Linked DNA regions of Oryzias latipes. The protein of the gene in region 2 interacts with the protein of the main gene of each other region in a biochemical or structural test. Links are inferred from orthologs where the notes say so. Each region holds a gene or a part of one and is shown on either strand. Other genes may lie near its edges.

Region 1 (4,327 bases), on a different chromosome or scaffold from region 2:
TGAAGTCGGTAGAAGAAATTTCCCGCGTTGACTCAGAACGGACCAATCGTAGAATTGGATTCTGGTTAAACGTAAACATCTGTGATGCGTTCACAATAATCGGAAAACTGAGAATTATTAGTTTTTCGGGGTTCCTGTGTTTAAGATCAGACGCACAAACAATAGACAATGAACAAAGACGTTAACTCTTTCTACAGCAGTGAGAATTGAATTACCTGTGCATTATTTCGATTTAATGAAAGCTTCATCACAGCATGACAGTTCTGAAGACCCATTCCAATGAAAAAAAAAGTAAATTTAAATTGCATTTCTGAGTATTTCTATTCAAATCGTTGTGAATCATGTGCAGACAAAAAATGGAAAAAACTGGTAGCAGTGACTCAGGTGCCACAATTGGTAAACAAGACGCTTCCTGCTCTACTTCATTCCGATGCATCCACTTGCAGATAAAAAGGATCCATTTAATCTACATCTTCATTTTCCACGATCAAGCGGGCATCTGACTCAAAACTGTACGGGTGGATAGATCCAATATTGCACACCATTTTTGTTAATGTTATGTAGGGTTGTAAGGGGCTGTAAACTAGTGGGAGCGAGTGTAAACAAAAGGATGATGGGAAATGAGGGAAGGCTTACTGCACGCCAGTAGTCCGGCCCAAATTTCTGATGAACTCCTAACGCTCTGCAGAATCTGTCCTGGATAACAACACATTTTTTTTTAATTTAGGCTTAAAAACGTCATAATCATAATTAAAGGACCATTGGAAACACTTTAAAAATAAGTCAAAAAATGATCAGAGTCGCATTTTAATTATGTGCTCAATTTCCAAACAATTAAATGTGGAGCTGCTTACACTACTAAAATATATCAGATTGTGGTTAAAATTTAATAAAATGATTGTATTTCTCAGAATTTGAAAAATGTATTGCATTTCTGAGTGAAGAGTGACTGCAAAACACTATTTAGTCCTACAGTTAAATGGTATGAAATTTGGTTGATTTCTTTGTATTTTCTAAAACAAAAAAGCAGTTAAATAAATAAACTTAAAAGGGATAAAGTGCTCAAAAAAGGAGTGGTTAAAAAATAAATCTCACAAATGTCTTACCCCAAATCTTACTATATTGAATGCATGCATTAACACATTAAACCTATACTCATTATTCATATCCCCACAAAAGAATTAAAGAAAAACGGTACCAAAACAACGTCACAGAGTTATGACTGTCTGGACATTGTTCCATTGGGATCCTCATTTTTGTCTTGTAAACTTTTCCAAAATTTTCAGTTTGTATTTTATTTTAAAACCTGTAAACTTTATAGTAATAATGATAAAAATAATAATAATAATGTACTAAATTGGCTAATAAAAAAGCAGCATGACTTTAAGTTCTTTGTCGGGTGTGTCAGAGTTTCTCCTGCGCAATGGAATTATTGATTCACAGCTTTTACATGGGTTCCTTCCAATTTGAGAGTTGTGACGTCACTTTCCCCAGAGTCCTGGTGAATGGTTGGCCACGCCTCTGTGCGCGAGGATCCAGCCAGTCAACGTCGATTGGTGGAGTCAGATTGAAGCCGCAGAAAAGGGAAACTACAGCAGCGGAGGAGCAGCTAGAAACAGCCCCGCACAACCTTTATAACTGAACGTTTCCTTAAGAAGAAAAATGGCGTACCACAGTCCTTACCGAGCCCCCCCGCACATTAACGCTCCTCCGGACCAGAGCTTCCTGTGGAATATCTTCCAGAGGTGAGTCAGTGGGGAGAAGGCGGCTTGTTTCGCCTGAAAACTGCTGCCGTTCGTTCGTAGCGGGAGGAAGAAGATAGAGGGGCTGGGTCGGGTGGTGACACTAAATATTTCATTGGCAGCTGTCCCCCCCCCCCCCCCCCACACACACACACACACACATTTTCTTTGCGTTAATGTTGTCGTTGAAGGCGAAGCTCCGCAGTGAATGAAGTGTTTGAGGGCTAGCTCTTAGCCAAACCTCTACTCTACAGATAAAACAACGCGTACCAGAGCCACTCCGGCTGTCACACTTTGGGCTCATTCACTTCTAACCGTGTACTTCTGCAGGCGCGAGGCCGTAGCAGTTAGTTTAAAAACCTAACTTCAAAGACCTCCACAAGTCCTTGAAGTACACTGCTGACATCATTACACACTTGTGTTCAGAGTTGGCTCATTCATGCTAATTAAACGTTGTGCACACCTGTGTACGGTTACATCCCAGTGATACAAGGAGAAATGAGGAAACAGGACATTTAAAGCCATGTGCCAGCTGCCATAGTAGGTACAGAGGGAGAAATGTTGAAATACTTGTACTGCTGGTGCTAATAAGCTATAGTGTTATGTAATACTGCAGAGGATTTGTTTCTTTTAGTGTTGGAATGCTGCGGGCATCTTGAGGCTTGAGCCAGACCCCTCACCAAAGACTTCTGTGTGGTGCATGACCTGAGGGAAGGCGGGCTGCATGTACTCATGTTGTCCCCTGTGTCTTCCTTCACTCGCATCCGCTGTCACGGAAGCGAGCAGAAGCATCTTATGATTCTCATGACTTAATAGAGTCAGCATCGGAGCAAAGGTCACTTCCAGCAAGCCCGACTGTCATGAAGAGCGTCACACACGAGCTGCCTCGCCTGGTTCCCCCTTTGGCTGAACGCGTGGCAGAGAATCCCGTTTGTCATGTGACCGCAGTCAGCAGAGCAGCAATGAAACATGAGGCCTCTCAGTGGGGGGGTTTCAGACACACTCCCTACAGATTTTCACTGTAGCCAGATTGGCATATGGCTGCTGTGGGAAATCAGTTCACTCACTTGCTACTATTTTGAATCCAGAAGTCTCCACAGGAGAAAGGTATGGGGAGTTTTTGAAGTGTAGTTAGGGTACCATATTTTTCAGACTATAAGTTGCTCCAGAGTATAAGTCACAGCAGCCAAAAGAAAGTATAATAAATTAGAAAAAAATCATATATAAGCATTGACTGTATAAGAGAACTGGACTGAGTGACCCCTCCTCCCTTGCATTCTAAATAGGATGTACATGTTGGTCCTAAAATCCTATACAGTTCTATAGAGAAAAAAACAACAATTACTCAGTCATTATATTTGTCAGAATAACCATTCTTGTTCTACCTTTTTTTTTAACATGTTATTGCTAATTCAAATTTATTTTCCATGATATTTTTTCTGTAGCGCAAATGATCCAAGTTGCCCAATCAGATGCCTCAATAAAAGTAGATGGCGTCACGTCGAATGTTCGAAGCATTTGATGTCATATTCTCTCGATCTCGCTTACAGTGGAAGGGGTGTGGCCTTCCAACAGTCTTATTCCTGATTGGAGAGTGTGGTTACTATAGAAATGTAGACTCAGAAAGACTTGGACCAATCACTACTTAAGCCCGCTTAAGTAATTTCCTATAGTTCGCGTCACAATCGCTCAGTCCAGTTCTCATATGCAGTCAATGTATGTAAGTCGCACTGAAGTATATGAAGGAGAAATTAAGAAATTGTGGTTTGTGCCCAGTCGGATTTATATGACACTGTCTTGCTGTAAAAAAGAAAAAAAAACCTGGAACAAGATTTGTGAAATTTGCTACGCTTCAACATTTTAGAAACGGTAGAAAAAGAAGAGGACACCCCCCCCCTCCACCATGGACATGCATTTAAGAACGCTTGTCAAATGCTGTAGTGTGCGTATCTTAAGATTAAGCGGCGCTGCTTATTCTGAGTTTTTGTCAGTAGTAATTACAGATACACCTACAAACAGACCCCGTAGTGGTTGCTGCTATTTATTTTTTGAAAAAATCACATAAGTCGCACCTGCGTATATGTCTTAACCCTGACCAAACTATGCAAACAAAAAAACACGACTCATACTATGAATAGTATGGTAAATGAGAGCTGTTGACCATTAACCTTGCTTCTTAATGTTTTTGTTCCATGACATAATGCTGAATGAGTCACTATTTCTTTCTTTTGTCTGTTTTCTTCACTGTCACAGTGACATTATAAATGTTGGCTCCCAGCCCTGTTACTAAATCACACATTAACACTTTTTTATATTTAATCTTAATTTATTCCAGTTGTGTTGTTTTTTTTTTAGCCACAGCGAAGGTCTGGCTTTTGGATTTTCTACGTGGAAAATGGAGCGAGCCGTGTTCCCCAAGCTCCAGTTTCTCTGTAGGAAAAAGTGGAACATGGGAAAATCTGAATCAGGTTTTGATATTGTCCTGCTGCACTACATGGATGTTTGGTCATTTAACAACATGAAGATGGAAACACCAGATGGTTTTTGCCCTGCAGCAAAGAGGAATGTTAATGATAGTTTTCTTT
Region 2 (3,563 bases):
ATTTGTTTAAGATGGATGAAACATTCACAAGTAAATCTCATAATTTCAAGTGACAAGATTATTTTTTTGTTATTTATTGAAAAAACAAACATCTTTTATAGTCTTTAGAAGTTTAAATGTTAGTTAAATGCCAAAAACAAGCGACTAAAAATGAAATCCCAGTGAAAAAGAAAAAGAAAAATGATTTGCAGGAACCCAGAAGAACAATTGCAAGGTCTAGCCTTACCAAAGAACACATTTGTACCTATAGTTCTGTCATTTTAAGGAACATTTGAATGTTTTTGAAACTTTTGCAGCTCCACATATAGTTTATACCCTTCTATAACTTTGTTGTGTCTATGGAGCAGAAAGTAGCCGCTGTTAAAAAAAAAAGAAAAAGAAAAAGCAGCTTTTACATCTTGAAATTCTATTTTCCTGAAGCTCACATTTTAATTTTGGATTTTTACGTTTTAATCAATTGACATTAACATGAATTTAATTAAACATCAGTACAATGTTCCCTCGTTTATCACAAGACTTGCATTGTAATAATAGCCCACAATCGACAACATTAGTCTTTTTCTTACAATCGTTATAGATTGTCACTACACACTTTCTTCACTTTTCTCAGACAACGTGAACATTTTCACAATTGTGTCTCTTGTTTAAACTCTCAAAATTCAGATCTTTATAGAAAAATTAGTCCAGGATTATAAAATTATCTGATTGCCATTGAAGATTTATGTGAAGAAAGCAGGACACAATTTGCTCTTTAAAAAAATGAATACATAAAAAGACACTCAAACATGCACCAAAACATTCTGCCAAGCAGAGACACAAAGATGAACAATATAGCAAGGAACACTGTACTGACCAAAGAAACATTGTTTCTCTGTTTTTTGTCTTGTTTTTAAATGTCCTGACTGACCAAAGTAACTAAAAATGCATCATATGTGAGCAGGCTTTCATACCTGTGGAGTCTGCATCACCATTACTTTTTTGGTTGTCTGCAACGTCTGATTGTGCGCAAAAGTCACATTTAAGATTCTTTATTTTGCTTTTAAAAGGTGTAGTTAGTTGTCTTTGTCTTCTAATATAAAGTCATTAGGAGTCTGTTAAAGTTATTTAGTCTTATTGTCTTTTCACAAATTGTCAGACATGCGAAATAAACAGTGTAAATCCTGTTTTGTTGTGTTTGTTTTCCTTGAAATGATACTTAAAGTGAATTTGTCAACTGTGCTTGGCTCTTTTTCTTCCCTCAGGAGTGAAAAGGGCCTGTTGTGACTTTCTGGAGAGCCAGCTGGATCCCTCCAACTGTCTGGGTATTCGAGATTTTGCTGAAACCCACAACTGCCTCGACCTGATGCAGGCGGCTGAGCTCTTCTCACAGAAGCATTTCTCTGAGGTGGTTCAACACGAGGAGTTTATGCTGCTGAGTCAGACAGAAGTTGAAAAGCTCATAAAATGTGACGAAATCCAGGTAAGGAAAGCAAATGTCTGCAGCCTTGTGCCGTCTTTTTAAATTTACTATTTACTTTTTTACTCTTAGATGTTCCGAAACATTTCGGCGAAAGAGTGCCACAAACGGCCCATTTCACCTCAATCGTCTGCACCACTGAAGAAGTCATTATTGTAATTACGTTTCCTCAGGACTGGCTTAGCTTGGCGTGAATTTAGCTCGTCTTTCACAGTTTTCTATTGTCTGTCAACACCTAAATAAGACAAGAGTAAAGCGAGCACAAACCTGCAGTAAACTCATGGAGGTCACCCCCCCCCCCTCCGTTTTTTAACTGGTCTGACAGTGAAATTGTAGAGAAGTGAACCTGATTTAAGTTTGCCTTTGTACTCAGAAAATTCCTGTTTTCCAAACCCCATGCATTGCTTTGTGAAAACACTGCTTATTATCACCCGATGATTTATAGAGCGTCATTTGTGTCAAATTGTTCGTCCTGTCATTTCTGTTGTTTTAGAAACTAGACTGCTGATTCAAAAACAGTCGCACATAATTTGCTGTGATCTGAGGTTTTTCTTTTATGTTCAAAACGTAAAGACCCACCATTTGTTTATGCCGATTATGTTTTTCAAAGTGTACATAGAAATCCCTTTATTCTTTCTTAAGTTACTGAAAGGCTGACAATAGTACAAAAGTCAGGAAATAGTCCATTTTAAATATGACAATAGCACCACAACTGTTGACCAGAAACATCTAACTTTAGTGGACTACAGGCAGAATAGCTTGATGTGTTGCAATAAAGTTTGGCATCGTTCTGCCCTAAAAAAAAAAAGTTTAATAAGTAAAAAAAATAAAAAAAAGTTTAAAAAAAAGAAATAGCTTCCAGGAGAACTTTTTCGAAAATTATTTACAAAAATGATCCCCTATAATGTAAATTTGAAACATTATTATTAAATATGTCATATGCAGTTTTAAGGCTATTTAATCTATTTAAACATATTCTTTTTTTCTGATTTGACTGTTTAATTGGCTTCTTTAAAGACCCAGAAGGTTTCCTAGAGGTCTTTTAATTATGATGATGTCGTTTTTACCCCAAATCTAACAGTCCGTGTCGTTTTCTAGAATATAGTTTCTGCAGAAGTTAATCAGAAATTCACCTGTGAGATGCTGGCGGGACTGTGGGAGCGCAGGAACCCCACACTATTCCCCTTCCCCACTAACTCCCAACTTAACATCAGTGGTGCAACAGAAACGTGAGCAATATAAAGAAAAACTCAGAAATGCAATTTCAAGCTTAATTTTCTTTGTCTATGTGCTCCAACATCAGAAAAATGCCACAAGAACATGTTAAAAACAACAAAAACACAATTTTCGTTGAAGAGCGTCTTAAAACACAAACTCTAGTCTTTTAGGGCTGCTGTCCAATGTGGTTTTTCATTTATTCTGCCCCTGCAACTTTATTTTAGCAAAATGCACCAGATCCAGGTAATCAGCAGCAAGTAGGATAGTAATATCTGAATAAATACTTTATAATGAAAAAAACTTAGGGGAAACATTGCAGATCCTAAATGTCCACCACAACTAACATCGTTTTCAGAAAAATTGGTGAAAAGCTACCTCAAAGTCAGTGACCCGTTGATCTTAGTTGTTATCTTTACACAATGCTTGTGAACTCGCTCAAAAATCGTGAAATCGTGACAGGCCTGCTTTACGCCAGGCGGTCCTTCTCCCTTGGCACATTTGTTTAACTTGTGTTTTCTTCAGCTTCCAAAAGAAGTCTCAATTATATAAAAAAAATCATTTAATATGTGAAAATCAAAAGCTACTTCTTTTAGTGCTGTCATTAAACTCAAAATGGTTCATATTGTTGATCAGAATTTTATCCAAAAATCCCTTTTCATCCCTCTGCTAGCACTGTCTCTAGAGCCTAAAATGACCATAATCCAAAGTTTGGATCACAACCGTTGCGTTTTCTTCTGAGGAAAACGACAAAGTCTTGTGCAATCCTACAATCAAAGTAATGCTGCTGTTGGATTCAGTGGGTCTTGTAATCCCTTCCCTTAGGTTTGCACTCGCATGCGTGTTAGTACATGTGGTTGTGCCTTTAGCAGGGAAAAGCTCTGTTGTTGAA

The links. The genes of interacting proteins can lie anywhere in the genome.
Region 1: the proteins of klhl12 (region 2) and pdcd6 form a complex in vitro, tested with the Homo sapiens proteins (2 studies listed by BioGRID). The link is inferred for Oryzias latipes from reciprocal best matches to the Homo sapiens genes KLHL12 and PDCD6.

The regions. Positions count from the first base shown.
Region 1 is NC_019878.2:12,576,380-12,580,706, forward strand, and holds the start of pdcd6 (programmed cell death protein 6), read left to right. Parts: upstream 1-1,516; 5' UTR 1,517-1,662; coding exon 1,663-1,745; intron 1,746-4,327. UniProt on the Homo sapiens protein: Calcium sensor that plays a key role in processes such as endoplasmic reticulum (ER)-Golgi vesicular transport, endosomal biogenesis or membrane repair.
Region 2 is NC_019865.2:21,836,342-21,839,904, reverse strand, and holds part of klhl12 (kelch-like protein 12), read left to right. Parts: intron 1-1,241; coding exon 1,242-1,459; intron 1,460-3,563. UniProt on the Homo sapiens protein: Substrate-specific adapter of a BCR (BTB-CUL3-RBX1) E3 ubiquitin ligase complex that acts as a negative regulator of Wnt signaling pathway and ER-Golgi transport.